Elephas maximus indicus: one gene and its partners. The protein of the gene in region 2 purifies or fractionates together with the protein of the main gene of each other region. This does not show direct contact. Links are inferred from orthologs where the notes say so. Each region holds a gene or a part of one and is shown on either strand. Other genes may lie near its edges.

Region 1 (7,238 bases), on a different chromosome or scaffold from region 2:
ACCCACCAGAATGGCTAACCTTAAACAACAGAAAATTCAAAGTACTAAAGAGGAAGTAAACAACTGCAAATCACACATACTCAGAGTGTGTACTGGAATAATCTCTATGTAAAAACTATAGTATTTGGTAGGTAGTCTCTAAGTTCCTTTGAAGCGAGGATGGCACAACTTCCTCTCACATACTTTGGACATGTTATCATGAGGGACCAGTTCCGGGAGAAGGACATCATGCTCGGTAAGTAGAAGGGCAACAAAAAAGAGAAAGATTCTCAATGAAATGGACTGACACAGTGGCTACAACAATGGGCTCAGACATAGCAACAATTGTGAGAGTGGCACAGGGCCAGGTGGTATTCATTCTGTTGTATATAGGGTCGCTATGAGTTGGAATCGACTCAACAACACCTAACAACTAAAGCTGGGCATAGTGCTACCCCGTGACCCAGCAATTCCACTTCTAGGTATATAAAAAAAAAAATGGAAATAAGGGCATATGTCCGCCAGGGCATGAGTAGGAATAGCAGCACTAATCGTAACGGCCCCCAAACTAGAAGCTGGCTAAATGTTCATCAACAGACAAATGGATAGACTGTGGCATATTCATTCAATAAAATGCTATGAGGCTAAACCACCTAATTACATGCTACAAAATGAGTAACAAAAAGAATATATACTGTATGTTCCCATTTATGTAAAGTTTGAGAGCAGCAAAACTAATCTGTTCTATTAAGTCAAAATAGCAGTTACACTTGGAGAATGGTAGTCATTACCAGGGGGCTTCTGAGGTGCTGGTAACATTCTGCTTCATGATTTGGATGCTGGTTACCCAGGTGCTCACTTGGTGAAACTTTGAGCTATACCCTATACACTCTATTCTATAGTTTTATATGTTAAAAACTCTGACCCTTTGGTTAGCAGCTGTAGCACTTAACCACTATGCCACCAAGGTTTCCATTCTATATGTTATACACTTCAATAAATTTAAGAAGATATGAAAAATAGGAATTATGCTATAGTATTATCGATTATTTCTTCAACTTAGGAGCATGGTTCCTGCCCCACTTAATTTCTCCTCATTTACTCATTTTGGTTTACTTAGCATGACGGATTCCTTTCTACATATTCCAAACTGGGCTTTGTGCTTTCTTCTGCTGTTTAGAAAAAGTTTGACCATTTGTAAAAAAATTCTTACACTGTCAAAGGTTAATCTGAATGTTTAAAAATTCTTTATATCTATTTAAACTTTATCAAAAACCCATGCGACATTTCTGCATACAATAGGTATGTAGCACCAGAAACACTTCCATTTTAAGATGACAGAATAATAATTACTAAAAACAAGGACCCAGATGTGTACTTCTCACCCATATGTGCACTTCTTCACATTCAAAAGCCTACCTCAAAATTAACTTAAGCAAAGCCACTATTTAATTTATCCTAAAGCCACTAGTAAATATTCACTTATCTTACAAAAATCAAATTAAAAATCAACTTTGTCAGGCTACTATCTTGTAGTTGTCCATAAGTCTGGAAACGGATTCTAGTTTTACAGATTGACAATTTCCTTGACATCAATTAGGTTTACTTGCCTATGCTGGCAAAACAGCACTGAACAAAACCACAAAAAAGTCCTATTGTCAAGCTTACATTCTGAGACCATGAATATAATAACTACAAAGTTTTGTTTCCTCATGAATTCATAATAAAGCTACGTAAAATACAAAAAGCACCAACATACCGGTTAATAATCACATTATTCCAGTTAATGTTAACCCCGAGTTTTAGTAAAAAGGAGTACTTACTGTATAATTAGAAGAATAACCTGATGGGTAAAATTCTGGGGCGTTCACAGACAGCTTGGACATTAACACAGGAGCTACAACCACCTGGGGTTTGGCCATTGCTGACTCTGAATTCTGCTGTGGGATTTTATCCTGTGAACTAGGTGGAGCTCTCAGGGGCCTCGCTTGTTCTGAGAAGATAAAAAGGAGTGTTAGATTCGTTCATTCTTTTGTGTAATGACTTTGTATATACTAAAAAGTCATCTCTTTTAACTCTTTAAGAGTTTAAAAATCATCACGAAATGTAAGGTCATCTCCGGGATACTCACAAAGAGCCTGCAAAAAGGAACAATAGACTTGGCTGTAGCTCATTTATGAGCGTTACCTGCCTCCCAAATGAATGCTTGAGGGTTTTGGTTTTTCTTTTATTTAGGAGCCGTTTCAAATGCAGTGGTAGCTCGGCTTACGTCTTACTTTAGAGGACCGGGCAGGGGGAGGCAATTTTTATTTCCTCCCCTGGGTGGCAGAACTCCGAGACCGCGCACCGGCCCCTCCCCCAGCCGGGGCGCACAAAGGATTCCAGTGGCCACCTTCCAAAGCCCCGTCCCGCGCCCATCCCCACCCCGTAACACCCGGGCCCCTCGGGGGATGCTTTCGGGGAATTGGGGGGAGGGGGTGGAAGGAGAGTCCGCCGGCCCTCGGCGAGCGCAAGGCCCGTGGGGAGGCGTTGGCCCGGGAGGACGGGGTTTCCCTAGAGCTCCTCCGTACCTGGGAGCGCCCCGGGCCGGGGAGGCCGCTGGGGGCCGGTGGGGCCCTCGCACTGGGCCCCAAGCGGCGGAGCCGTCCTGGGCTGGCGCAGCGGCGGCGGCTGCAGGAAGCCCGGGGCTTTGGGCTGCGGCGGCGGCTGCTGGCGCGGCCGCTCTGCAGGCCCGGTTCCGTTCGGGAAACTGCCGCCCTCAGGCCCGCCCCCTCCGCGGCCCAGGCCCCGGCTCCGGCCCCGACCAGCACCTGGGGCCCGATCGAAACCGTCCGACATGCTCCTCCTCCTTCCGGAGCCGCTGCCGCTGCGCTCGGAAGAGGCCGCGGGGGAAAGCAGCGCAGGCCGGCTCTTGCCGCTGCGCTTCACTCGGGCCTCATGGAGGAGGAGGGCGGCGGGCCCCGGCTCCGCTCCTGCGCGCTTCAGGCGGAACGGACGGCAGGCTGAGCACCCGCGACTCCACAGCGCCCGCCCCCCAGAGCTACCCTCTGCTTTTATTCTCCCCTAAAATCCGGCGCCACCGCCTTCGGCGCGGCGGGGGCGAGGCGGGTCACAGCGGCCCCCCGCGGTCCGGAGGCCCCGGGGCGCGCCCGCTGCGATTCCTACTGTCCCGCAGGGCAGGCTGCTGCGGTCCAGCAGGCTGCCCGGCCAGCGGCGTCTCGGCCGCAGGACGTCCCTGCTGGGCAGCGGGGACCGGGCGGAGGCATCTCGACTCCCGGGGCCCGGCTCGGGGGGGAGATGGGGACGCTTACCCCAGTTAGGCCCGATCTATTCGATGGTTCTCAGGAGACAAGTGCGAGACTGACGGTTGATGCCAGGAAAATAAAAATACGGGGGGAGGGGGTGTGGCCCCGGCGCCAGGGTTCGCGGACGCGCACCACCGTGGGCGCGCAGGTGTGTTCAATGACCAGGCTCCCGCCGAGAGCCCAGGACTGGCAGGGAAGCCGAGCTCCGGAAGAAGCTCTGCCACCTGCTTCGTTAGCAGCGGGGGAGGGGACTAGTACGTTCAAAATACGCCCCCTACCCTTTTCAGTTCCCGTTAGGTACTTACCTCCGGAAGGGAACCCTGGTGGCTCAGCGGTAAAACGCTGGGCTGCTAACTGAAAGGTGGGCGGTTCGAAGCCACCAGCCGCTCTGTGGAAGAAAAAAATGTAGCAGTCGGCTTCTGTGAAGATTTACAGCCTTGGAAAACCCTACGGGGCAGGCCTCCGCTTCCTTACAGGGCCAGAATGGATTGGGCCGCGGAGGATTTGGTTTGGTTTGTCACAAGCTTCAATATCTTCCCTTTTCTCTGCCCCTCCAGAAATTTTCAGAAAATACACTACCGTTGAATGAAACTCTTCCTTCTTTTTATATGCTACCAATGTTGTCCGATAGGCATATAATGCAAGCCATTTGTGTAGTTTTACATTTTCTAGAAGCCACAAGCAAACAAGCAAAAACAAACAGGTGAAATTAATTTTAATAATAAATTTTAACCCAGTATATCAAAGATATTATCATTTCAACATGTAACACTAATGAAATGTTCTTACTAATTGAAACCATATGTGTATTTGGACTAGCGTCCTTTCAAGTGCTCAGTAACACGTGACTAGTGGCTACTGCATTGAACAGCGCAGTTCTAGGTATTTAAGTGTAAAATGATATTTTTGTCAGGCCTGATGGTGCTAAAGCCAAATGAAGGGTTAAGTAATGACAAAAAAAAAGGGGGGGGGAATCCATTTTCCTTCTGTTGGATTATCCACCTCCACAAATTCTAATCGTTGCCTTGTATTTTAAGCATAAACTGTAATACTCTTTACAGGACAGAGAGATTGATTAGGAAGAGAAATAGAAAAACCCTGGTGGCGTAGTGGTTAAGTGCTATGGCTGCTACCAAAGGGTCACCACTTTGAATCTACCAGGTGCTCCTTGGAAACTCTAAGGGGCAGTTCTACTCTGTCCTGTAGGGTTGCTATGAGTCAGAAGCTGGGTTTGGTTTTTTGGAATGATGTTTTTCAGTCTTTTCATTTGACAATGATTCCAATTAGGAACAAAAAATTATGTTAACCACTTTCTGTTCTTGCTAATAAAAAAAATTAAAGTCTTGATCTAAATGAATGAGAAGAATGGCTTTAATGAGGATAATTGTGAGTAAATTAGTCATGCTGTTAATGTTAGCCCAAAATAATGAAGTCAGGGAAGGAAGGCAGTATGTGGTTTGTAGGTTTTAAAGTCTGCTGCAGCTTCAGATGAATCTGGGTCTTGACCATTACTGGCTGTGTGATCTTGGGTAAGGGATTTAGCTTCTGTAAGCTGGTTTCCCCATCTGTAAAATAACTATCTTATAGCACTGAGCATGTATTACAAATGCTAGACTGACAAGCTTACAATTTTAAAATTACATGACTTGATGCTCAAAGTACTTTAACATCCATTATTTTATATGGTCGTCAGTCTCTTCTTGCCTGGACTTCTGTGTTACAAAGGAAAGACTCAAGCTGTATGCTCAAAAAGAGTGAGCAAACGAGCATCACACAACACTCAAGCCACCACAGACAGATGGGTGGTGACTGTGCCTTGATACTCCTTAGAAGTGAGAATGGCAAAACGTTGTCTCTCGTACTTTGAACATGTTATCAGGATTCAAACTTGGATCTTACTCGTGGAAGGCGACAATTCTAACACTGAATCACCACTTACTGAATGTTTATTGTTGTGTGTCAGGCACTGTTCCAAGAGCTTTATTTGTATTATTTCATTTAATCCTCACACTCTGTGAAGTAGACTTTCTGATTATCCCCGTTTTACAGAAGAAGTACCAAGATATCATGAAGCTCAAATCCACCTGCAGACTGATATAGGGCTGACTAGCAGGTGTTAGGTATTGCAAAATGCCAAGAGGCCACACACACAGACACATTAAAAAAATATAAGCACTGTATGGAATCCCCTGAAGAGAATCATCAAAAGATCTCCTCCCCTACCTTTATGTCTTTCTTATTAATGTGTAGTGAATAGGAAGAATAAATTCAGAGAGTTCGGAAAATATATTGTAAAATGGGAACAGGACCACTGTCAACTATGGGAAAGATTTCCTTCTTTCAGCTGGTCATGAAATGTTGCTCTGCCTACTTCCGCGAGGAGGTCTATGAAATTTTCCAATTCCCGAAGCCAGATTTGTCTCTGCCTTTACCGCTCTGGAGGCTTTGACTTTTAAGAGAAGAACTGGTAGTATTAATACTTTAACTTATCCTCCATTCAGCTGCTGGATGATCTTTCTACAAATCATATCTGATTATGTCACTTCACTGCTAGAAATCTTTCAATAGCTCCCCATAGCTTTCAGAATGAAGTGAAACCCTTACACCCAGAACAAGACCTTTGCCTTTCTCTCTAGCTTAATCATGTGTCACTCCCTCACATATTCTCCCCCTACCTCCTTTTAGCAATGCTTGCTAAACTATCCTCATGTCCGTAGCTATTTCATGCCTTCATGATTTTTATAAATGCACCTTGCTGCCTGGGAAATCTTACCTCTTTCACCTCTTAACCTATCGGGCTCCACTTAAGTGTCCTCCTGGAAGCTTTCCTCAAGCAGCCCAATCTTAGATTCCCTCTTTTTTGATACTAGCACCCTGGACAAACTCTGTCTTAGCACTTAGTATACTGGATTGTTAATATTTGGCTTACATAACGAGGTCAGAGAATGCCTTTTAATCTCTATGCCCTCATATCCTAGCCCAGTACTTGGAACATAACAGCTTTTAACTGTAGTAGGACCCACTTGCGAAAGTCCTGACTTGACTTGGTTTACCAGTATAGTGAAGGTAGAAGGAAGACTGGTTTTCAGAAACCTAGGAGAACTTAAAGTGACTTCAGGATTAAATCTTGTAGGATTAGACAGTGCAGCCTTATAAGTCCAAAAGGTGTGAGAAAGTTTTCATACAATAAATATGGAGTAAAAATATTTGCAAACAACATATTCAACAGGACATATCTGGAGCATATCAAGAACTTTCAAAACTCAACAGTAAAAAAAAAATTAAATTTGAAAATGGGCAAAACACATGAACAACCATTTCACTGAAGAGAACATACAGGTGGCATTTAAGCCCATGAAAAAAAATTTAACATCATTAGGGATTAGGAAAATAAAAATGAAAACCACAATGAGACTTCACTACTCAACTATCAGAATGGCTAAAATAAAAAATAATAACACCAAATGATTTCAAGAATGTGGAGAAACTGGATCACTCATACATAGCCGGTGGGGATGAAAAATGATACTATCACTCTGAAAAACTGTTTGGCAGCCTCTTAAAAATACTAAACATACAATTACCATATGACCCAGTGATTGTACTCCTGGGCATTTATCAGGAGTATTTAGGTTCACACAAAAACCTATACACAAGCGTTTATAGCAGCTTTATTCATAATATCCAAAGACTGGAAACAGCCCAGATGTCCTTCAAATGGATGATTACACTGTGATACATCTATACCATGGGCTACTACTCAGCAAGAAAAAGGAACAAATTGATAGAAACAACAACTTGGATGGATCTCAAGGGAATTATAGTGAGTGAAAAAAGAGCCAATCTCGAAAGATTAAGTACTGTATGATTACATTTCTTAATAATATCCTTGAAATGAAAAAAATTCTAAAAATAGAGAACAGATTAATGATTGCCACCGGTGAAGGACAGAGT
Region 2 (8,120 bases):
TTGACAGCAGTGGATCTGGTCTGGACTGCTCAGCTGAACAGTAACCTGAGCTCTATGCAATTCCAGGATTTCAACTGCCCAGGTGCCCAATCACACTTCAGTTCGTCATCCAGTGCCTTGGGACCTTTCCTCAGTTTGGCAACCAAGTCGATGTTTGCACCATGGAGACCATGTAAAGGACCAGAAGTAAAAATAAGCTGCCAGCCAGGAACACTTTTCTTCACTGGCAGCAACAAGGACACCCAGACCTGATTTACAGTACAACCTCACAGCAGTGACTTCACTAATGCAATGACATCACCTAGAACTTCCTCCCTGAGGGGATTCAGACAGGGCTAGAGTGAGGGAGCTTTCTCCTGTCTTGCAGAATCAACTCCCTAATTTCTCCCCTCCAGAAGTTCAGCGTCCAGCCAGCCAAAGGAGTGTCTTCTTTTCCCTCGTTATTTCCAACCACACTCTTCAGTTAAGGCATGGAAAAGGGAGACAAAGGACAGGAAACGTCCAGGTACAGGAGAGTCGGCTGCGAGGATTATGTGAAACCCATGCCTGGGACTCATTTCTACACGACTCCTCTCTATTTCACGTGAGCACTGCAGAAGGCAAGTCGGCTTAGTCTGACAAATCTGGCTGTCTTATTTATAGCAGGGAGAGGTCCTGCAGAGGTATGTGTTGGCAGACACACTGACCAATGGCTTCTGCTACTATCTCTAAGTGACAGTACTTTTGTTCAGAAGAGCCAAGAAGGCAGGCCACGGCTAGTGAATGTACCCACTACCCCTCCCCCAGAAAGGCCACACTGAGCTACCTTCTTTGTGCTCCTGTGGCCCCAGACAGAACTCAGCTCAGAAGGCAAGTCCAATTCCCCCGTCTCAGCTGCATCCTGGGCAAGTTACACTCTCTGCCTCGTGAACAGTGAACCAAGGAGGGACTCTGCCACAGAACAGTTCATTTCTCTCTGTAATGGTCTCTGCAGTTGTTCCCTCTTAGTCTGGAGTCACGTGCAGCCCCTGATTAGGTTTCCTCTTGTCTCACTCCTGCCAGCCTGCAGCATACCTCTCCACTGCTCCAATCTGGGGCAGGCAGAGCACTGCACTGGGAGTCCCAACTTAGCCTCCAATTGCTGATCCTTTTCCTTCACAGAAGTCCTATTTCCTTCAGATGGCATGAAGTGGAAGTGTCAATCACTGTGCAGAGGGAAGGTGATAATGCTCACCAGCCCCAGCCCCCAGCCCAGTGAAACTTCAGGTGGCACTTTCCCAGACTAACTGGTCACCATTGTGGGCAAAGAACTCTTCCACCTCAGTGGCAAACATGCAGACTGGGGAGCTGACCTGGCACTGGCTGCACATGCAACTCTGGGGACACTAATACAAATCCCCACACAGAACTGCTCCCTGGCTTTCTATCTGCCCTGAAGAGCCCTTATCGGCCAAAACTCAAAGGATTCAGGCCAGGTCAAGGGAGGAGGAGAGGCCAGCAGTTCTGCAACCTCAAGTTTTTGCAGGGAATTGTATTTCAATCGCCCTGCTTTTTTGGTGGGCATGTGAGGGGCACAAGCCCATAGTCACTGACCAGGCAGATGCTTTAACAGTCCAGTCCCACTGAGCAGAACCACACACACAGTAGAGTGACAGTGGCTTCACTCTTTATGCAGTCTTCCTGGGTTCCAACCCTACCTCCACAACTTATTAGCCCAAGGTCACCCAGTTAGCAAGTGATACTAGGAACTCCACCCATAAGATGACAGGCTCCGCGTTCTTAACCCTTACAGGAGGCTCCCACTACTGGCTTTTGGGGCAACATGCTGCCTTGATGCCCCTCTCCGTGGAGGTAGGGACTTGCCTAGATAAGTCCCAGGGTTCCCTGAGGTCCCAATTTTGTAGGCATAGCTTCTACTTACCGTCAGCCGGCTGCTGGAAGTTGACGTAGGCATAACCCAGGGAGCGGCGGGTGATCATATCGCGGCAGACCCGGATGGACAGCACAGGCCCCGCAGGACTGAACTTTTCATACAGCATGGCCTCGGTGACGTCCGAGTGCAGGTCACCCACGTACAGGGAGGCCATGGGGTAGCTGCTGGCTGCAGCGTTCATCTCCCCGCCCCCCACCACACCGAGCCCCGCCAGGAGGACTTCTTCTAGGGATCACCACAGCACAAAAGGGGCTCTTCTCGGAGCCGTGGCTCGCGCGGCGGCTCACAGGTGGCAACAGTGAAGCCAAGGGGCGTTGGAGTAGGCTCAGATACACAGAAGACGGAAAACAGGAGTTCAGGGACAGCTCATAGAAGACTCTGCAAAACCTCAGACAAAAGGCGCTCAAAACAATATGGCCCTCCCTGGGAGTTTGTAATTTGCAGCTGTCCTGGTTTGAACCTCCAAATTTCAAAAAAAAATATTAAAATGGGGAATCCCCTTCCAAATTCTAAAAATTCTTCAAGAGGCAACCAAATGCTGCCCACAGCGGCCTTCGGGAGACGCGTTTCTCTATAAATATAGGCCCCGGGCTCCTGGCGGTTTAGGATTACAACAGCCAGGAGAAGAGGGAAACAAAATATTTGTCGGTGCCGACTCGGCAAGCCCCAGGCGGGCGTGCGTGCGCGCGCGCAGCCGCCTCCCACGCCGGGCTCCGCGAAGGGCAGCGCGGACACGTGGTGCGCCGGGGAGGCCGGCCCGCGGGGGGCGAGGGCTGCCGGCGGGGCCGGGCGGGCGCCGAGGTTGCCACGCGGCGCGCGCGGACGGGCAGGGCCGGGCGGCGGGCAGCACGGACGGACGCGCGAGGGTCAGAGCGCAGGCGCGTGGACGAGGGCAGGCCCGGGCAGGCGGCGGGCAGGCGGGCACGGGCTGCTCACCACGGGACCGACAGACGGAGGCGGACAGACGCCAAAGTGCGGCGGCGGGCGAGGGGCAGGCCGGAAGCGTGCAAAAGTGACTTCCCTGCGGGTGCTCCGAGGAAGATTCGCGTATTCTTTTTTTTTTAAGATTTTTAAAGCGTTTCCGTTTTTTTTTTTTTTTTTATCTTTTTTTCTTCAGGCTACTGGGCCCGAAAACAACGTAGACAGCGGCGACCCGGGGCGGAGAGAGGCGGCCAGCGGAGCCACCGCTCCATTTATACCCGCCCGCCCCGGGCGCTGCTGGTCGAAGGGCGCCTCGCGACCTGGGCGCAGCCGTGCCCGCCCACTCGGCCCGGGGGCCCGAGGCGGGGCGGCCACGCGAGAGCGACCCGGCGGCCGCGCGGCGCCACAGCGGCCCCTAGCGCGTGGAGGACCGCTCCCGCTCCGAGCTTTCACCAACCCCAAGGGCAACTTTTCATAATAAATAGATTATAGCCCCTCTCCACATCATCCGGGAATGGAATCCATAGATAATTTAACCACCCATGCGCATAACGTTTAAAAATCAATGTATTGCCTAATTGCGAAATTAAGAAGAAATAACAATTTATAATTTAAAAAATAGGTTCAATATGTAAATGTTTGGTCCAGAATACATGAGAATATATACTGAGTTCTCATAATTCTAGGACTTAAATGTAGAGTCGTTGGCAATGCTACAGCTAGAAAGACTTGCTTCCATGGGTGGTGTGATTTTCTGAAAAGAACAAGCTTTAGTACAGCGTCAATAAGACAAAACTCAATCACTCTTTGATTTACGTGGTAGTGGCGTGTCTGAAAATTTAGTTTACATTTAAGAGTGCAAAAATACTTTCTCTGTAAAAGAGGTTAGTATCTAGACTTAGATAATTATAAAAAGACTTTTCATCTGCATGAGGGTCTGTTAGGTCATTGAAAAATCATGTGGGATATGGAACGATTCTGCATCATGTGATACTGTCCCCATGCATTGCAAGCTACAGTGAAACCTGTGAGATCCAGAACTCGATGGAACTGCCTTGTTTTTATGAGTCTCACAAGCTTTCCACCTTTGACAGGGTGCAGTCTTACCACTTTTTTATTGCTCTCTGTTAGTGGAAAATATTTGAGTTTTCCTTCTCTGACAGGTGTCTGCCGTACACAGGTTCTGACTTTCGCAGGCTTTACTGTATATAGCAACCATTCCTCCATAAGTACAGGGAACTCCTTTCCCCATCATTATGACAACCAAAAACAGAAATTATCAGTAGGTGCACACACTCTTGCATTGAAAATGTAAGTCAATGAATATGTAAGATGAATGTAAACTGATGTAAGTAAAGAAATGAAAAAAACATATATACTCATTTGTTCAAATAAATAGTTAATCATGGCCTTGTCTATGCCAATGCTGGAGATAGGTGCTGGGGGATACCATGGGAGTCAGGGCAGTGGGAGTCCCTCTCTTCCTCATGGAGTTTATATTCTAGTGTATTAAATCAAGAAACATTTATGAAGTGCTCCTTCTGTAGATAGGTACTGTCCTTAGCAAAGCCTTCCCAGACCACCCAGTCTACAGTAGCCTACCACTGTCATCTATGACACTATCCCGTTGGCCTGTTTTCAAGGCATTTATTGTTGTTAGTTAGGTGCTGTTGAGTTGATTTTCAACTCTTAGTGACTCCATGTGACAAAGTGCTGGGTAAGTTCAAACCCCCAACCTTTTGGCTAGCAGCAGAGCACCTAACTGTTGTGCCACCAGAGCTTATTAAGGCTCTTATCGGTTGTTGTTGTGTACCACTGAGTTGATTCTGAGTCATAGTGACCCTACATGACAATGCAGAACTGCCCAATACGGTTTCCTAGGCTGTACTAATCTTTACAGGAGCAAGTCTTTTCTCCTGAGAAGCTGCTGGTATGTTCAAGCCAAGGACCTTTTGGTTAGCAGCCAAGTGCTTAACCATTGTGCCACCAGGGCTCCTTATAAGGCTTTTGTTATTATGTAAAATAACATTGTTTATATATGTTCTTACCTGTTCAGTGTCTGTCTTTCCTCCAGTGTATACAAGCTTCATGATAGCAGGGACCTAGAACAATGCCTAGCATGGCACATACTAAGTGTTCAATAAATATTTGTTGAGTAAACAAATGAATTCTAGGTACTAGTGAGCAAGAGAGAAACAGTCCTTGCCCTCCTGAAGCTTACTCTCTAGTAGGGGAACTTACTACGTGTATGACATTGAGCAAGCTCATTCACATCTCTGACCCTCAGATTCCTAGTCTGTAAGTATACTAATAAAGGTATTCACTTGATGGAGTTATGAGAATAAGCTAACATATATAAGTCGCTCGTGTAAATGTTAATTGTTATTATTATCAAGTTGCATGTGTGCTGACAGTGGAGTTACTTAAGTGAAGACCCTGAGTGGAGGAGTATTGCTGGAACAAGGGAGCAAGACTGTGGTGTTGTGGGAGGCAGGAAGGACAACCAGCTCTTGGAGGACTTGAAACACTTAGGACTTTATCCTGAGATTGGAGGATAGAGCTGAATATTGTAAGCAGGGCAGTACCTTGGTTCAAATTGTATTTTTTAAAGAATATCTCTGGCTGTACCCCGGATTTCCCGTGTCCATTCAACCAGCTCCTGTCCCTTTATGCCTTTTCATCTCGCCTATCAGTCTCATGTATCTACGTGAACTACGAAGCACGCACCTCACGAGTATCATTTTAAGTCTTATAGTCCAGTTTAGTCTTTGTCTGAAGAGTCAGCTTTGGGAATGGTTTTAGTTCTGGGTTAACAGAGAGCCTGGGGGCCCTGTCTTCTGGGGTTCCTCCTCTCAGTCAGACCAGTAAGTCTGGTCTTTTACTAGAATTTGAGTTCTGTACCCCACTTTTCTCCTGCTCCATCAGGGACTCTCTGTTGTGTTCCCTGTCAGGGCAGTCATTGGTGGTAGCCAGGTACCATCTAGTTCTTCTGGTCTCAGGATGATGGCATCTCTGGCTTATGTGGCCCTTTTTGTCTCTTTGTGCAGCCAAGAATTTTGCAGTACAGTGGAATTGTAAAAGCTCTGGCTACTGGATTCATTTGTTTGTTCACTCATTCAACAAACTTTATGTGGTTCATACAGAGAGCCAGGCTCTGCTATGGGTGCTGTGGACAGAACCATGAGCTAAACAATCACAGAACAACTTGACCTTATTGAGGACAGCGATAAGAACCAAGTAAATAAATGACTGTGTGTGTAACTTGTGCAAAGTGCTTTTAATCAAGAGACTGTCTAGAGGTAAGAGCAGGTGAAACCCAGCCCATCCTCCCAGCAGGAGATCGAGTCTACCTACAAAAGCTCTATTTTCTATAAGCAACAATGGCCCTGACCCTCAGGAAGGAAGACCCTTCCTTGCCCACAGACAGGTCTTTGAGATCCTAGAGGGTTAGTCCAGGAAATAAGACAGGCTGCACAACTTTGGCAAGTGGTTGTCACATCTCTGAGCCTCCCCGATCTGCATGACAGGCTCGGTAAATCCTTTTTAGGAGAGGGGCCAACTGACACAAAAAGGATTGTATCAGAATACTATGAAAAATTATACTCCAACAAATTTGAAAACCTAGAGGAAATGGACAAAGTCCTAGAAACACATTACCTACCTAAACTAACACAAACCAAGATAGAAAATCTAAACAGATCCATTAACAAAAGAAGAAATTGAAGAGGTTATTAAAAAAAAAAAAGAAAAAAAACCTACCAAAAAAAAAGCCCTGGCTTGGATGGGTTCATTGGAGAATTCTATCAAACATTCGGTAAGAGTTGACACCAGTACTAGTGAAACTATTCCAGAACATAGAAAAGGAAGGGATACTTCGGAATTCATTTTATGAAGCCAAAGCCAGGCAAAGACACCACTAAAAAAGAAATTTATAGACCAATATCCCTCATGAACATTGACACAAAAATTCTCAACAAAATTCTAGCCAATAGAATCCAAGAGCACACAAAAAATAATACATCATGACCAAGTGGGATTCATACCACATATGCAAGGATGGTTCAACATCAGAAAATCAATCACTATAATCCACCACATAAATAAAACAAAGGAAAAGAATCACATGATCACCTCAATCAATGCAGAAAAGGCATTTGATAGAGTCCAACACCTATTCCTAATGAAAACTCTCACCAAAAAAGGAATAGAAGGGAAATTCTTCAACATGATTAAGGGCATACACACATAAACAGCCAACATTATTCTCAATGGAGACTGAAAGCATTCCCCCTAAGAATGGGAACCAGACAAGGAAGCCCTTTATCACCACTCTTATTCAACATTGAATTGGAAGTCCTAACTAGAGCTGTAAGACAAGAAAGGGAAATAAAGGGCATCCAAGTTGGTAAGGAAGAAGTAAAACTATCCCTAGTCACAGATGACATGATCCTACAATAGAAAATCCCAAAGAATCCACAAGAAAGCTACTGGAACTAATAGAAGGATTCAGTAAAGTGGCAGGGTACAAGATTAACATACAAAAATCAGTTGGATTCCTTTACACTAACAAAGAGAACTCCAAAAATGGAATAACTTTTACGATAGCCCCCCAAAAGATAAAATACTTAGGAATAAACCTAGCTAGGGACATAAAAGACTTATATGAAGAAAACTACAAAATGTTACCGCAAGAAACCAAAAGAGACCTTCATAAATGGAAAAACATACCACGTTCATGGTCAGGAAGACTTAACATTGTGAAAATGTGAATACCACCCAAGGCAATCTATCTAAAAAAAAAAAAAAAGCCTGTTGCCATTGAGTCAATTCTGACTCATAGCAACCCTATAGGACAGAGCAGAACTGCCCCATAGGGTTTCCAAAGAGTGCCTGGTGGATTCAAGCTGCTGGCCTTTTGGTTAGCAGCCATAGCTTTTAACCACTACACCACCAGTGTTTCTAAGCCATCTACTGATACAATGAAATCCTGATCCAGATTTCAACAACAATCTTTAATGAGATGGAAAAACTAATCACCATCTTTATATGGAAAGGAAACAGACACCAGATAAGTAAAACACTACTGGAAAAGAAGAGCAGTGTAGGAGGCCTCACACACTACCAATCTCATGAACCTACTGTACAGCCACGGTAGTCAAAACAGCCTGGTACTGGCACAACAACAGACACATACATCAACGGAACAGAATTGAGAACCCAGAAATAAATCCATCTACCTATGAACACTTGATCTTTGACAAAGGGTTGAAGTCCGTTAATGGGAAAG
Region 3 (7,139 bases), on a different chromosome or scaffold from region 2:
CACCAGCTTTTCAGTTAGCAGTTGAGCTCGTTAACCGTTTGCGCCACCCAGGGACTCTGCTGATACTGAAGTGGTGGGGATTTCACAGTATGAAAACAGGAGGCAAAGGTTCATTTAGGGCCATCTTAGAGGCTGCCTACCACACCACTTTAAGGAGCAATACCCTGACCTAAGCTAAAGCTTTCTGACATCACAGTTGCTGTTAAATAACCATGTTTTCAGAGGTCTGGAATTCAGGCAAACAATTTGCAGTAAGAGAGATACCTTGGTTTTGGGTGGTGATCCTCTGTCCACAAAGAAAAAGGAGAAGGTATAAACTAGAGTTGACAGTAGAGATTCTTTTGGTTTCCATTTGAATATAAAAGCAGAAATCAAATTTTTAAATTGTGTTAAACATATATGTAACAAAACGCTGGCCATGTCAGCATTTTTTACATGTACAGTTCGTGAAATTAATCACAGTCATCTTTGTTCAACCCTTATGACTATCCATTTCCAAATTTTTCATTACCTTTAATAAAAGTTTGGTGGCCCCTAAGCAATGAGTCCCTGTGCTAGTCATCTACTGCTGCTATAACAGAAATACCACAAGTGGGTGGCTTTAACAAAGAGAAATTTATTCTCTCACAGTCTAGTAGGTTACAAGTCCAAATTCAGGATGTTAGCTCCAGGGGAAGGCTTTCTCTCTTTGTCAGCTCTGGAGGAAGGTCCTTGTCCTCAATATTCCCCTGGTAGAGTAGCTTCTCAGGTGCAGGGACCCTTGGTCCAAAGGATGTGCTCTGCTCCCAGTGTTCCTTTCTTGGTGGTATGAGGTCCCCAACTCTCTGCTTGCTTCCCTTTCCTTTTTCTCTCTCTTGAGATAAAAGGTGGTACAGGCCACACCTCAGGGAAACTCCCCTTACATTGGATCAGGGAGGTGACTTGGGTAAGGGTGGTGTTACAATCCCACCCTAATCCTTTTAACATAAAATTACAGTCACAAAATGGAGGACAACCAGAGAATACCGGGAATCATGGCCTAACCAAGTTGATAAACACATTTTGGAGGACTCATTTCAATCCATGACAGTCCCCCTTTCCTCCTCCCTCCTGCTCATTTGCCTCTAGTAACCACTAGTAAACTCTGGTCTCTCTATACACTTGCCTATTCTAGATATTTCATATAAGTGGAATCATACAATATTTATTCTTTTGTGTCTGACTTACGTCCCTCAGCATGTTTTCAAGGTTCATCCATATTGCAGACTTCATTTCTTCTTATAGCTGATTATTATTTCATTGTTTATGTATGTACCACATTTTGTTTATCCATTTATCTGTTGATGGATATTTGTTGATCCACTTTTTGGCTATTGTGAACAACGCTTAACTCAACATTGGTGCACAAGTGCCTTTTTGTGTTCCTATTTTCAATACTTTTGGGTACACCTGGGAGTGAATTATTGCTGAATTATTTGCTAATTCTTTATTTACCTCTTTGAGGAACCACCAAACTTTTTCCCACAGAAGCTGAAGCAGAATATCACATTTTGATGATAAACTCTCATATCTTCCTGGTGTTAATGCAAAGTGGTACAGCCAGTTTGGAAAATATCTTTCCAAAAAGTATCTTTAAGAAGTTAAATATAAATGTACCATAACCAAAAACCCAAGTCCATTGCCATCGAGTTGGTTCCGACTCGTAGGGACCCTATAATTTACCATGAAAAAAAAAAAACCACCCAGCAATTCCATTCCTAAAACTCTACCCAAGAGAAATGAAAACATATGTCCACACAAAGAAATATGTTCATAAATGTTCCTAGAGGCATTATTCCTAATAGCCAAAAACTAGAAGCAATCTAAATGTCCACCAGTTGGTAGATGGATAGATGTACAAAATATGGTTCATTCATGCAATGGAATACTACTCAGCAATAAAAAAAAAGAGTACTGATACATGCTGCAACAGGGCTGAACTTCAGAAACATTGTAAGTGAAAGAATCCAGAAACTAACGACTGCATACTGTTGAGATTCCATTTATATAAAATGTCCACAATAGGGACATCCATAGAAACAGAAAGTAGGTTAGTCGTCGTCTGGGCCTGGGGGTGGAGATGGAGAGTAACTGCAAATGGCTTTGAGGGATCTTTTTGGGGTGATGGAAATGCTCCGAAATCAGTGGTGATGATTGCACAGGTCTGTAAATTTACTAAAAGTAAAAAAATCAGACACTTAAAATGGGTGAATTTTATATTATGTAAATTATACCTCAAGGAAGCCATTGCAAAAATTGCACTGATAATGGATGGGAACTTGAGCTCTCTCAGCCTACATGAAATCAAGTTCAGCTATGTCAGCTTCAGGCCTTCTTATTCTACTTCCCTTTTTCTTTCCGTCTGCCAGGAGTCTGATGCTAAGATTGAATTCTGAGAACTTAGTCCCATATATTGCTGTCAAATAATTAAATCAACGAAAGTTGATTGTATCACTATTGTGGTTCTTTCTTTTTCCATCTGGTATTTTATTCTCAATTTCTTTGGGTTAATTTTTAAAGGATTTGTAACTGTTGGTTTAAAGGAATAGCTTAAATGGGGTGGGGGGGAGGGGGAGCTGACTTCCTAGTTTTCAAATGTTTGTGGAATACAAGGATCATTTTTACCTGGACTATCTAGGAGATTAATTTCATTTTGGCTATTAGAGATACCTGGCTTAATCATTCCCCCAAGTTTTTCCATATCTTTCTCTTTATCTGGACAACTCTAGGAGACAGAGGGGAATTTTGTTGCTTTTTTCCCCTGTCATTTCCTGAAATAATTTCACTTTTAAACAAACTAGATTCTTCACTGGGGGGGGGGGGGGGGAAGTCGTTATCTACTTGCTTCCAGCTTAATTGCAACATATGTAAAGAACTGACTACTGTGCTGGCTGGCGCCCTAAGTTAAAGTAAAACTTCTAAAGGGGCCAATGTCTAAAGTTCGCACATTCTTGTGAGGTCTGTTCTGTCTCCACTGAAGGAGACCCTATTATCCATAGCGCTACCAAATCACGTACATTTCCTTTTGAGTCTTATGAATGGAGGAAACGAAGTTCAAGTGAGGGGTAAAAAATGGGTTCAGACGAAGGTCAGGTACCCAAAAGAGTTTTCTGGTTACCGTGTTGCTGGAGTGGAAAAAGTGGGGAAAAGGTAACCAGATGTGGGTGGCCCCAAGAGGTTGCTCCAACCCCATTAGTTAGTCTTGGCAGGGAAAGTGAGCGCGGCCTGCCTTTGGGCCACCCAGTGCCACTTGAGGGCCTACTGTGTGCCAGGCACTGTTCGAGGTGCTTTCTACGTAGCACGACAGTCTCCGCCCTGCAGGCGCTCGCAAGCCCATTTTCTAGGTTGCATCAGGTGGGGGCCCACAGGGCTCCTCCAAGGAGTCTGAGGACGTTGGAGGAACACTCGGGAGGAGGGGGCCACTTTCCTCCTGTCCCCTGCACTAGGCCGACCCAGCAGGCGAAGACCGACACGCCCTCGCAGGAGGCCAGACCCGCCTCGAGGAGGGCGGACCCAGGCAGGGCCGGACGCCGGGCCCTCACCCGACCCTCGCAAACGCGCCCCAGCGCAGCGCCCGCTCCTCACGTGTCCCTCCCGGTCCCCGGTCGTCTCACGGAGTGCTTCCGCCCGACCCTTCCGACTTCCGGTAAAGAGTCCCCAGCTCCGCACCTCCGCGCCCACCCGGCACCGCCACCCAGTGTCTCGGCGTGCCCGGCCTCGGATGCGGTCGGCAGCCGCAACAACTCGGAGCCCCGCGGCGGCCGTCGAGCCTCGCCGTTTCGCCGCGGTCAGGTGGCCGGGGCGGTGCTCGCTCCCGCGGCCGGCGCGGCGGCGCGGGCGGGGCGGTGGCGGCGCGGCCCCGTATCCCTCCGCCGCCCCTCCTCCGCCCGGCCCCGGCCCCCCTCCCTCCGGGCAGCGCTCGCCTCCCTCCGCCTCAGACTGTTTTGGTAGCAACGGCAACGGCGGTGGCGCGGCCCGGCTCGGCTCCCGGCGGCTCATCGGTCTCAGCGGGCCTCCCCGCCCCTTCGTCGTCGTCCTCCTCCCTCTCGCCGGCCCCGGCGCCCCCCCGGCCGCGCCAGCCCGCGCCTCCTCGCTCCGCGCCCGCGCGTCCCCGCCGCGCTCCGGCGTCTCCTCGGCGCGCCCGGCTCCCGGCTGTCCCCGCCCGGCGTGCGGGCCGGTGTATGGGCCCCTCACCATGTCGCTGAAGCCCCAGCAGCAGCAGCAGACCGCGGCCGCCAATGCCCGCAAGCCCGGCGGCCTCCTCACGTCGTCCGCCGCCGCGCCGGCGCCGTCCTCGTCCTCGTCCTCAGCCACCGCGTCCTCAGCCGCTGCGTCCTCCTCGGCGGCGGCGGCGGCGGGCGGCGGGCGGCCTGGCCTGGGCAGGTGGGTGTCGGCGCCGAGCCCCCTCTGCCCGGGCCTGGACGGCCGGGCCTCGAGTCCCCTCCCCCGCGGCGCCTTTCCTCCCGTGACCGGCGGGGCCCGGGGGGTGGGCTGGGGGCCCGCGGTGGGGGCGGGGGCCTCTCGGGCTGGAGCCGAGGGGCTGGAGGCTCCCACGGGGCTTCTCGGCGATTGTCAGGCCGCGTCCAGTCTCTTGCACCATCCCCACCCCCTTCCCCAAACGGTCAAGATGGAAGGACCGGGCAGCCGCCTTCTCTCGGTTTCCACGCTCGGGGGGGTTCACAGGTCTCCGCAATTGTCAGCCCCGGTTCCGCCTTCTCTACGCCTCCCTCTCCTCGTGGGGGGGGGTGCTTGGGCAGCACCCCCACCCCTAGTTTAAATGTTGATGTTGGCGGGGTCCTGGAGCTCCCGAAACATGTCTTCTCCACCAGTGGGGAATTTCGGGGGAGGGGGGATTGGACAGCGTCCCCTCCTGTTGAAGGGCGCATCTGGGATCGCTGGGGTCTGTCCGGTCTCCCTTGACGCCCCTCTTCCCTGGCCTGGAGACGGTCGAAGGACGGGGCGGAGGGGTGGGCAGTGGCCTCCCGCCCCCTCCCCATTGAAACCTGCGATCGTGGGGCTCCGGGCCGTCCCGGGCAGCGTCCTCCGTCCCCTACCTGGGGCAGGGGTGGGACGGCCCTCCCCGCAAGGCCTCTCCTGCCGGGTGGCGGCCCAGCCGCATTGCTGTCGGAGGCCGCCGAGGAGCAGGCGCCTTTGAACAGGGTGGGCGAGGGCCGGGCCCCGCCGGGCCGCTGCGGGAAGCGGGCCGCTGCGCATTTTCTCACTACCCCCGCTTCAGTCGCCGGAATTTCGAGGGAAGAGGAATTGCCGCGGGGGCATGAAGGGCTCCTGAAGCAGAAATGCGGGTGTTTACTTGCGACCCCCGCCCCCTCCCCCTAACTCAGGCTTGTGGTGGGGGCCCGGGGGCTCGGTGTGCTTTCAGCGAACTGGCTTTGACTCTGGAGGGCGTGTTTGCGTGGGAAGGCCTGTTGGGGGTGGGGGGTGGCTGTCAGTTCGTATTTCATGAAGTAAGAAAATGCTTAGTGTTCAAACTGGGCAGCAAATGTCAATAGACTCCATTCCATTGTGGCCGGTGTCCTTAACTTGGGGAGTGCCGCCAGAGCTTACCAAGGGCACACAAGTCCATTTCCCCTGTGCCCCGGGCCCCTCCGTGGTGCAGGCACTGCCATGCCTCCCTTAGGCCTAGGCAGAACTGGCAAGGCCAGTGACCATTGTCCTCCTTAAATAGACATACTGGTCTTTCAAAGGTGGGCTAAGGGAGTTTTTCATACACTGAGTTTTCTTTTTGAAAACAAATTTTCAGCGAAATGTAAATACTCGTTTACAGCAGGCGAACTTTACCTATCCAGATGATTCAGAGCTGGTTTTTAAGGAATTCTCCCTTCAGAGGGGGGACAGTCACTTTTTTGGCTTCTCCTCCCCACAGTCCCACGGTTTCCCCTTCTCTGAAGCACCCACCAATGCTGCCTAGCCCAACAAGTTCAAATGAATGATAGTTTCTGCAGCTCTATACACTTAGCATTCTGTAACTTCAAGTTTCCCTTTTTCAGTGGCAATGATAGTGGAAAACATTTAAAAGATACAGTTTTATAGAAGAGGGTGCTTTTTTTTTTTTTCTTTTTAGGTTTTAAAGGTAGAAATATGACAGATACCTTGTTCAAATAATTAAAAATTAAAACTAAAGGTTTTAAATTGCATTTGCCCTCCCTAGGCTTAAGCATTACATTATTCAGAGTAGTTTGAATGGTCAAAGATAGCTGAAATGTTTTAGTAGTACAGATCTTTTTCTGTTCCTTAAGGCTTCATAAAAACTTAGAGTTAATTTCTTCCTTGCTTTAAATCCTTTTATTTGAGGTATAAATTGTAGCCTTTATTCTTTTTCCTAAATATGCAAAGTTTTGTTTAATGTGAAATTCACATAATGTGAAATTTTACTCTTGAGCACATCTTTAGTTAATGTACTTGTAGAGTTGCTTTTATGAATCACCTTTACTGGGTTCTTTGTAAACCAGTTACAATATCTAGAATCTCCTCACTTAACATTTGAATGCATCAGTGGTAAAATAAGTTTCTGAGCAGGGGTAAAGGCAAAGAAAAAAAGCATCATTGGGTTTGACATGGTTAAAAGGAGCAAAATATTCTTCAAAGCTTTGAAATTCATGTCTGTTTTAAATAGCATAACATATCATCAGATTTGATTTTTACTTTTTTGGTGAATAGTGGATTTTTATGGCCTTTACAAAATGATTTGTTCTGTCTTTTTCACATACTTTTGAGAAGGTGGATTTTTTTTTTTTTTAAGGAAAGAACAATGTAGCTACAATATTAAAATTGGAAAGTAATTTATTTTAACCCAATTTTTATTTTTGCCTTTTATTCTTCAGTTCTTATCAATGTATTTTTATGTTCTTGCATTGCTGATTGCATGTTATTTGTATTTAGCTTTTTTTTTCGTTAGTATTGATATGTATATATGGTTTCTACTCGTATTGTTGGCATTTGGGTTTCCGCTTTTTTGTTATTATAGATAATTGTGCAGTGAACATCTTTACACTAAAGCTTTTTTGCTTCAGTGTAGTTATTTCCTTTGAGAAAGTTCCCAGGAGTGACATTACGAGGTCAAAGGGCTTCAAGATTTTTACGGCTCTTGCTCACTGCCGAAT
Region 4 (7,823 bases), on a different chromosome or scaffold from region 2:
AGAATTTTCTCTTAAAAAGCACCCAAGCCCTAACAACAGGCTTAAAACAGAGAGGCTACTGGATTAATTTGGAGTTAATCTGTCAAACACTACCCCAAAGGTACAAGATCAACACTCTTGCCTTAAAGTTCCAGGAAGACAAGAACACGGCAAATCTACCCCACTCAGAACTGTGCTCTGGGTACTTCAAACAAGTCTGCTCTTCCACTCAGAGGGGAAAGCAAGATGCCAACCAAGTTGTCTTCTTCCCACAATCAATAATCCCAGTGACCTATCAAGGGCCCCTGGACTTACACAAAATGCCAGCTCAGGCACTCAATACCACCTTATATCACGGCTGATTTAAAAGCCACAAGGCAGATTCACCATTAGCTAAGCAGCAGCCCGAGGTGAGAAGCCCAATTTAAACTTCTGAAGAGTGCTCTCTCTCCTGGGGATGATTATACCCCTTTGAGTTTAAGGTGGGGGGGGGGGCGCGGGGAGGGACCAAAGAGTGTCTTAAAGTTGCTCTCCCTCCCTCTGTGGGTGGATCAGGGAAGGATTTGTAAGAAAATGGAGGTTTCAGCACTGCCCTTTGCATAAGAGGGTTCTAGAAGGGGCATGGGGGAAGAGGAGGAGGGCAAAAGGAAGAGAACATGGTTTGAGGCATTATTAGTAAACCCTAAATGTCCCCTCCCCTAAATGAAGCAACCTTGAAAAAAATAAAAATTGCAACATGCCATTTTCAGGTTTGGTTATCATAATTTCCCTAAGACTAAAGGAGTGATCTTACTCCCTTTGATATGAAGGCATAAAGCTCCCCCTTCAACTTTCCCCGTTTTGATCTTCTAAACCATACTGCCTCAGCCAGCACTCTGAAACGGAGTTTTGAAAGAACACTAGGGCTAAGGCCACAGGCCATCATTCTAACTGCAAACAAGGTATTAACACTGGCCCACATCAAAAGGGCCCAGAATTAAAGAATCGAGGCCCACTGTGCCCCCCGAGTCCCAGCAAAGCGGGGACGGGAAGTGCGCCCCATTCAAGCTGAAGATCTATTCCCGGTAAAAGGAGGCCAAAAGCAAGCTCCATATTCTGCACCGCTTCTCTCCTCACGCTGACGAGGCTCTGCTGGGATTTCCTGCACACTCCTCTGAAAGGACAGTGTCCAAAAAGAAAAAAATAAAAGGGAGGTGGAAGGATAGACTCGGGGTGCGCCCGGGGCCCCAGCTTCGGGGCCCCAGCTCCGGGAGCGCCGGCCGCCGGTCACATGCCGCTCCCCGCGCGGGGAGGCACCACGTTGTCCCGGCTGCGGAGGAATGCCGGGAAGGGGGAGACGCGCACTTACACTCGCGCACACGCACACTACAGGACGCGCCGCGCCGGCGGCCCGCACCCGCCAGTCACCCGGAGCGCGACGACCCGCGCGGAACGCAGAGGCCGTGCGGCCGCAAGCAGCCCGCGAGTCGCGGGCGAGGCGCATGGCGCCCAACTGTCACCCGCCCGCCCAGCCCGGCCACTCCCTCCCCCGCCGCCGCAAGCCCCTCGTGTCGCCGCGTGCCCCTCACTCGTCTCACATTTTCCGCCAACCCCCTAAACGGATCCCCCCGCATTTGCCATCGGCTCCCTCTCAAGGCGGAAGGCCCCTGGGATCCGAGAGGGAAACTACCGAAGTCAGTGACACGTTGGGTTTCCTCGTCGCCCCATTCTCCCTGTAACTGACCCCTCAACCCGTCTCCAAATGGCGGTTCTACCGCCTACTATCATCTACTCGAAAACAAAACTTGTTAACTTTTAAATCTCGAATCCCTATACTCGGTGTGAACTCATCGCTGAGTGCTTTGCTGCCCATGACATATGCTCATTAAACATTTACAACATGGGGACTATTGCAACGCTACCAAAACGGGGAGCGTGGGGCGGAGTGAGAAGAGGGGGCTTCCCGAGTAAGGGAGGTTTAAACCAGAAACCGCCTTTTACACCAACATGCGATGGGGAAAACAGGGCCATTTTCACCGAAGCCAGCGCCCACCCTCTCCCGGTGAGGTAGGCCCGGACCACGCCGTTGCCCACTAACCGCTGCGGCCCAGGCGGTGTCCGTGGCCTCCGGGAGGCCGGGCCTCAGGCAGGAACAGGTTCCCGAGTGTGCGGCGGGAGCAGGGCACCACGACCCGAACGAGGCGTGAGACAATTCAAATAAAAAAAAACGAGGCACCACGACTCGTGGCGGACCCCCGGGCCCTGGAAACCGCTGGGGGAGGGGACGCCAATGTCCCCGGAAGAGGCCCCCGGACCCAGAATAGCAGGCTGGGAGACCCACCTGGAGGGGACTGTCCGTTCACCGTGGCCAGGGCCTGCGGCAGCGCGTTCTTAGTCCACGGGTTCACCTTGGGCGGGGGGGCCTCCACGAAGTCTCGCCGTCCGCCGCCGCCCGCGGCTCCGGTTGCTCCTCCGCCAGCGCCCGGCTCGCCGCCGCCGCCCTCCTCCCCGTCGCTGACGGCCGGGCCTTCGGCGCCTAGCGGCTGCAGCGGCCGCAGATTCTCGCGCTCCTGCTGCCCGGTGCCCTCCTTGTACGGCTTGGCGCAGGGCGGCCGGGGTCTCCGGGTGCCTCCGTCCGGCTCCCCCACTCCGACGTCGTTGGCGCCAGGCTCGCCCTTGCCCTCGGGCGGCGGCGGCAGCTTCTTCCTCACCAGCCCCCCGTGCTCTTCGGCCTGCAAGAGCTGGGCGCCCCCCGGCAACAGCGGCTCCACCTGAGTGGCCATCTGCGCGCCCGCCCCCCCGGAGAAGCCGGGCGCGCCCGAGGCTGCCTCCCCCGCCTCGAACTTGGCTCGCAGAACGCCCGCGACTCCTTCCTCCGGGGCGCTGGGCCCCAGTCCCTGCAGAAAAGGGTCGGGGTTCACGCTAGGCGCGGCCCCCCCTTCCGGTCGGATGCGGCCGCCGTAGATCCAAGGCCCGCTGGCGGGGCGGGGGGGGTGGGGGAAGGAGTGCCCCCCACTCTGCGGTCCAGGCCGCCTCGGCGCACGTCCCCCCCCCGCCCGTTCCTCGTAAGGCGCCCCCACCCCAAGCTCAGCGGGCTTCTCGTCCCGTCCCTCCCTCCCCCCCGCCCCCGGGGCGGCCCGGGCTTCCCGGCTCGGGGGCTGCAGCAATATGGACGGACGGGGGAGAGGCGCGGCGAGCCAAGCAGACCACGCGATCCGCGGCAGGCGGCGGGCGGGCGCGCGCCTCGCGGCGCGGCGGGCGAGGGGAGGGGACAACGCAGCGGGAGCGCGCCCGCCGAGGCCAGCCCTTGGCGACGGGCCGGCGGAGGCGACGGGAGCGCGCGCGCGAACGGCCTCGCGTCCCCGCCCCTCGTCCTGCCCCGCCCCTCGCCTCCAAGTCCTCCGTGCACCTCCCTGGCTGGGGTGGGGGCGCTCAGACAGGACGGGGGCGAGCACGTGCCTGATGCAATTCGGTAGAGGGGGGCGCATCCAGGGGGGGTAGGAGAGACGGGGGAGAGAACACGGAGGACTCTTAAAGGGCCAGCGCGTGAGAGAGGCCGCAGGTGGAGCACATGCGAATGGGCCACGCGGCCGGCTCGGCCTGCTCTCGTTCTTTAGGTTGGGTGTCAGATTCGGGGGAAGGAGCCATAAAAGTCACCCCCGCCTCCCAGGATGCTGGTAGAGGGTCCGCATCCTCCCAAAAGTCGCGCCTACACCGCCCCCTCTCCGCATCCCTCTATCCTGGCCTTTCCAGGCCCCGCATGGGTGACCTTGGGCAAACCGCTTTCAACTCCACCGGCTGCGCTGGGTTTCTCCCCTCCAGGCTGACCCGGACGTTGCCGGGGGACCGGGTTCGACTCCAGGCCCGGCAGGCGGGCCCTTGCCCTTGGGCGCTTCGGGTGCCTAGGATGTGGGAGTGGAATTACCAAGGTCCTCACTCCAGTCAAGCCTCTGAGTATTTGTGAGCAGGAAACAGCTTTTCTTTCTAGTGGATTGTGGTTTCTACATAGTTGCTTTGGGAGGAGTTGAACTAGTGCCGATTCGAGACTCTAGGGATTGAAATTTTGTCCTGGTCTTGCCTCTTATGAACTCTGCCAGTCAGTTTCCCCCACCGTAGGCCTCAGTTTCCCTATTGTAAAATGAAGAAATGGTCTATGACAGTGGTTTCATGCTTTAGTGTATATTCAATTCAGTTAATATTTATTCACTCCGTGCTCTGGGTGTCTCTACAGTGCTAGGAAACAGGGTTTGGTAATAAACCAGGCTAACAAGGTCCCTGGCCTCATGGAGCAATTTACATTCTAAACGTGGGGAAAGACAAAAATGATAAACAAGTTCCTGTGTAGAATTAATGCATAAACTGTAGTAATAGGCTAGAACAGATTTGTCCTTCTAGTTTGATGAGGGAACACCTCCCTGAACACAGGTTCCAAAGTGTTTAGAAAAATCAGGCATGGTCTGGAATTGAACCCAGAAATCTGTTTGTCTAACATAATACCCTTAGAACTTCTACACCAGGTGGTCCCATGCCTCACTTGGAGAAGTTGTGTCCTGTGCATTCTGAGGGTGGTCCAGGTTTAACAGAGCTGAGATCTACCTACTTAAGACATAAAAGCCAGGAATGTTGATCTCCAAAATAAGAACACATGACCTGCTGGACAGGGGAGAGGATTTATCAGAGAAGACTCTTGTAACTGCTCCACCTGGGAAGTCTCGGTTGTACATTGTAACCAGGAGTACTGGGGAGAAGTGCTGGTGGGGATAGCCAAGCTCTCCCATAACTTAGCACCTGCCTTCACTTGCTCTGTACATTTGCCTGGAGCCCCCTTTCCTGGCGTAAAAATTGTAATACATAATGCCTGATTTGTTCTCACCCTGTGGGCTTTTTTGAGGAAGCAAATGAAATGCTTCAAAAAGAGGTACCAAGGAAGGTAAGGATTAAAGGGATCACAATCTAAGCACATTCTTCAAAATTGTGTTATATCTACCCTTAATCCTTCCACCACCCACTGCTGTCAAGTCGATTCCGACTCATAGTCTACCCTTAATAAACAAAAAAAAAAAACAAACCCAGTGCCATCGAGTCGATTCCAACTCATAGCGACCCTATAGGACAGAGTAGAACTGCCCCATAGAGTTTCCAAGGAGGCCTGGTGGATTTGAACTGCCTTCCTTTTGGTTAGCAGCCGTAGCACTTAACCACTACTCCACCAGAGTTTCCCTACCCTTATTTATTGATAAATATTTCCTGAAAAAAATTATTCACTCAAAACCTCTCTGAACTTTGTAAAAAGGAACATAGTCATCGTTGTTGGCTCTTTCTTCCAACATTTCTGTAGTTGGTCATGGATGGCCCCCAAACAACTTGTAAGGGGGCCAGGTCTCTGTGTGGACAAGTAACTGGTTCATGCTACCCAGCAGTCAGAGTTGGAGCCAAACAAGCACTGCCAGACCCTGTTATGTAGAGACTGGAAGGGCACAGAGATCCATACACCCCCAGGCTTGCCCCAGAGAGGGGCCCTTAAACACCGATGCGCCATTTTACAGATGGGCAAACTGGGCCCAGAAAAGGCAAGATACCTACATGAGACTACATCTTGAATTTAGAGGCTGTTAGAGGAGGAGTCTTAATGATTGCTTAATGTCTTTGTTTTGCAGTTGAGGAGACTGAAGTTCAGAGAAATGAAGCTACTTATCCAAGCTCACACAGCTAGTCAGTGGCAGAGCCAGGCCTTACACCCAAATCTCTTGATCCTAAGTCACGGAGCTGTTCTACACAAAATGATGGAATTGGGGTTTGAATTCAGGTGATTTGATTCCTGGCCCATTATGTCATTCCATGAGTGCATTCATTTCTAAATATTAATAATGACCAAATAATTAAGAGTGTTAACAAATGGGTAAGCACTGCATTACCAGCTGACAACTTGGTTATTCAAAGACACCCATAGGTGCCTTGGAAGTAAGGCCTGGTGATCTGCTTCCAAAAGGTCAAAGCCTTGAAAACCCTATGACGTACACAGTTCTCGGAATGCAAGTGGTCGCCGTGAATCAGAATAAACTTGATGGCAACTAACGACTTATATTGAACAATTACTATATGGCATGTTCTGTGAGAAATACTTGATATTCATTATCTCATTTAATCCTCACAGTTACCTAATGTTATAAAATTGTGCCCCTCAAAAATACGTGTTGGATGAGACTAAATGGGTAGCTCCTGTCCAGAGGTGAGATGAGAAGGCAGAAAGAGATAGGAGCTGGTTGAATGGACACAGGAAATCAGGGGTGGAAAGGAGGAGTGTGCTGTTACATTACAGAGATAGCAACTAGGGTCACATAGCAATGTATGTATACATTTTTGTATGAGAAACTAACTTGAGCTGTAAACTTTCACCTAAAGCACAATTAAAAAAAAAATATGTGTTGGAATCCTGACCACTGTGCTTGTAATCCTGTTTGGGAATAGGGTTTTCTTTGTTATGTTAATAAGGCCCTATCAGTGTAGGGTGTGTCCTAAAAGTAATCACTTCTGAGTTATAAAAATAGCAGAGTAGACACAAGCAGGCAAAAAGGGGAAAGGAAAATGCCACTTGGAGATCATCAAGGAACAGAAGCTGAAAGAGGCAAAGATGTTCCCTCAGAACAACAGAAAGAGAGCCTTCCCCTAGATCCAGTGCACTGAATTTGGACTTATACCCTCTAAAACTGCCAGAAAATACATTTTTGTTCATTAAAACCACCCACTTGTGGTATTTCTATTACAGCAGCACTAAAAAACTAAGATACTTAATGAGATAGGCATTAATTATTGCAAAGTATCTTTTTTTTTTTTTTTAATCTATTGAGCCTCTACTAGGTGTCAGGCACCAGGCCAGCCCCTGGAGCTGTTATTATCTTCAGTTACAATGGAAGGCCACTGAAGTTCATAAAAGAAAGTGAGAAGGGTGCCTGGTTACAGCTAGCAGCTGAGTATCGGAGTAAGGTTTTTCCAGGGCGGTTTAACTCCCCTGGTCTTGTTCTTACCCACAACACCACACTACCTCCCTTCCCTCTACTGTCACATCCACAAGTATTTATGAAGTCATTAACTACTCAGGCCTGGGGAAGATACTAAAAAGTCGAATGCTGTCTCTCTAAAAGGTAAACTCTAACTGGGGGGACTTAAGTAATTAAGCAATATGTGACCTCAGGCCAGAAAAAGGTAAGATAAGATATGCTTTAGACAGAAAGTGACAAGGAAACAAGTTGGCTTGTGGCCAGGACTTAAAAAACAATGACAAAATCAAACCAAAAAAATAAAAATGATAAAGTGGGTCCAAATACCTACTTGTAATTAATTGTGTGCTTCTTTGCCCCTAGTGTAGACAATTTCCTGAGGAGAAACAGAGGAGGCCAAATGAGGGACTAGAGAGCTGGGAGAACTGGTTTATAACCTGGGCCCCATTTCTTGGTTTGCTGAATGACTTTGAGCAGCCTCCTGAGTCTTCATTTCTCCATCCACAGAACGGGATGCATAATACCTGCTCATCCGGCTTATGGGTGTGAAGAAAGATGCAAGTGCTCTTTAATCTATAAAACATTATTCTGTCTTTTTATGAGGGGGAGAGATGGTCCCTTGAGTTATTTCATTTAATCCTTACTAACCCAGCCCAACCCAGTGCCTACTAGGAAGGAACATTTAACACACTTGGATGTGCAGTTTTATTCCTCTTTGTGTTTGATTTTCCAAAGACCTTGAGTTTTTGGAAGAACTTGGATTGTATTGCTTATCTTTCTCCTGAGTTTTTGGAAGAACTTGGATTGTATTGCTTATCTTTCTCCTGATATCTTTTGTACTTGAGGCTTTTTTACACTGAGATGGAA

What was found.
Region 1: the proteins of PABPC4 (region 2) and PAIP1 purify together in Homo sapiens (co-immunoprecipitation; 3 studies listed by BioGRID and IntAct, with this or other methods). This does not show direct contact. The link is inferred for Elephas maximus indicus from reciprocal best matches to the Homo sapiens genes PABPC4 and PAIP1.
Region 3: the proteins of PABPC4 (region 2) and ATXN2 purify together in Homo sapiens (affinity purification with mass spectrometry; 4 studies listed by BioGRID and IntAct, with this or other methods). This does not show direct contact. The link is inferred for Elephas maximus indicus from reciprocal best matches to the Homo sapiens genes PABPC4 and ATXN2.
Region 4: the proteins of PABPC4 (region 2) and LARP1 purify together in Homo sapiens (affinity purification with mass spectrometry; 3 studies listed by BioGRID and IntAct, with this or other methods). This does not show direct contact. The link is inferred for Elephas maximus indicus from reciprocal best matches to the Homo sapiens genes PABPC4 and LARP1.

Annotation. Positions count from the first base shown.
Region 1 is NC_064820.1:49,996,038-50,003,275, forward strand, and holds the start of PAIP1 (polyadenylate-binding protein-interacting protein 1), read right to left. Parts: upstream 3,067-7,238; 5' UTR 2,818-3,066; coding exon 2,550-2,817; intron 1,973-2,549; coding exon 1,803-1,972; intron 1-1,802. UniProt on the Homo sapiens protein: Acts as a coactivator in the regulation of translation initiation of poly(A)-containing mRNAs. Its stimulatory activity on translation is mediated via its action on PABPC1. Competes with PAIP2 for binding to PABPC1.
Region 2 is NC_064821.1:81,201,628-81,209,747, forward strand, and holds the start of PABPC4 (polyadenylate-binding protein 4), read right to left. Parts: upstream 3,134-8,120; 5' UTR 2,094-3,133; coding exon 1,901-2,093; intron 1-1,900.
Region 3 is NC_064840.1:9,932,661-9,939,799, reverse strand, and holds the start of ATXN2 (ataxin-2), read left to right. Parts: upstream 1-4,127; 5' UTR 4,128-4,213; coding exon 4,214-4,401; intron 4,402-7,139. UniProt on the Homo sapiens protein: Involved in EGFR trafficking, acting as negative regulator of endocytic EGFR internalization at the plasma membrane.
Region 4 is NC_064820.1:170,907,436-170,915,258, reverse strand, and holds the start of LARP1 (la-related protein 1), read right to left. Parts: upstream 3,028-7,823; 5' UTR 2,742-3,027; coding exon 2,300-2,741; intron 1-2,299. UniProt on the Homo sapiens protein: RNA-binding protein that regulates the translation of specific target mRNA species downstream of the mTORC1 complex, in function of growth signals and nutrient availability.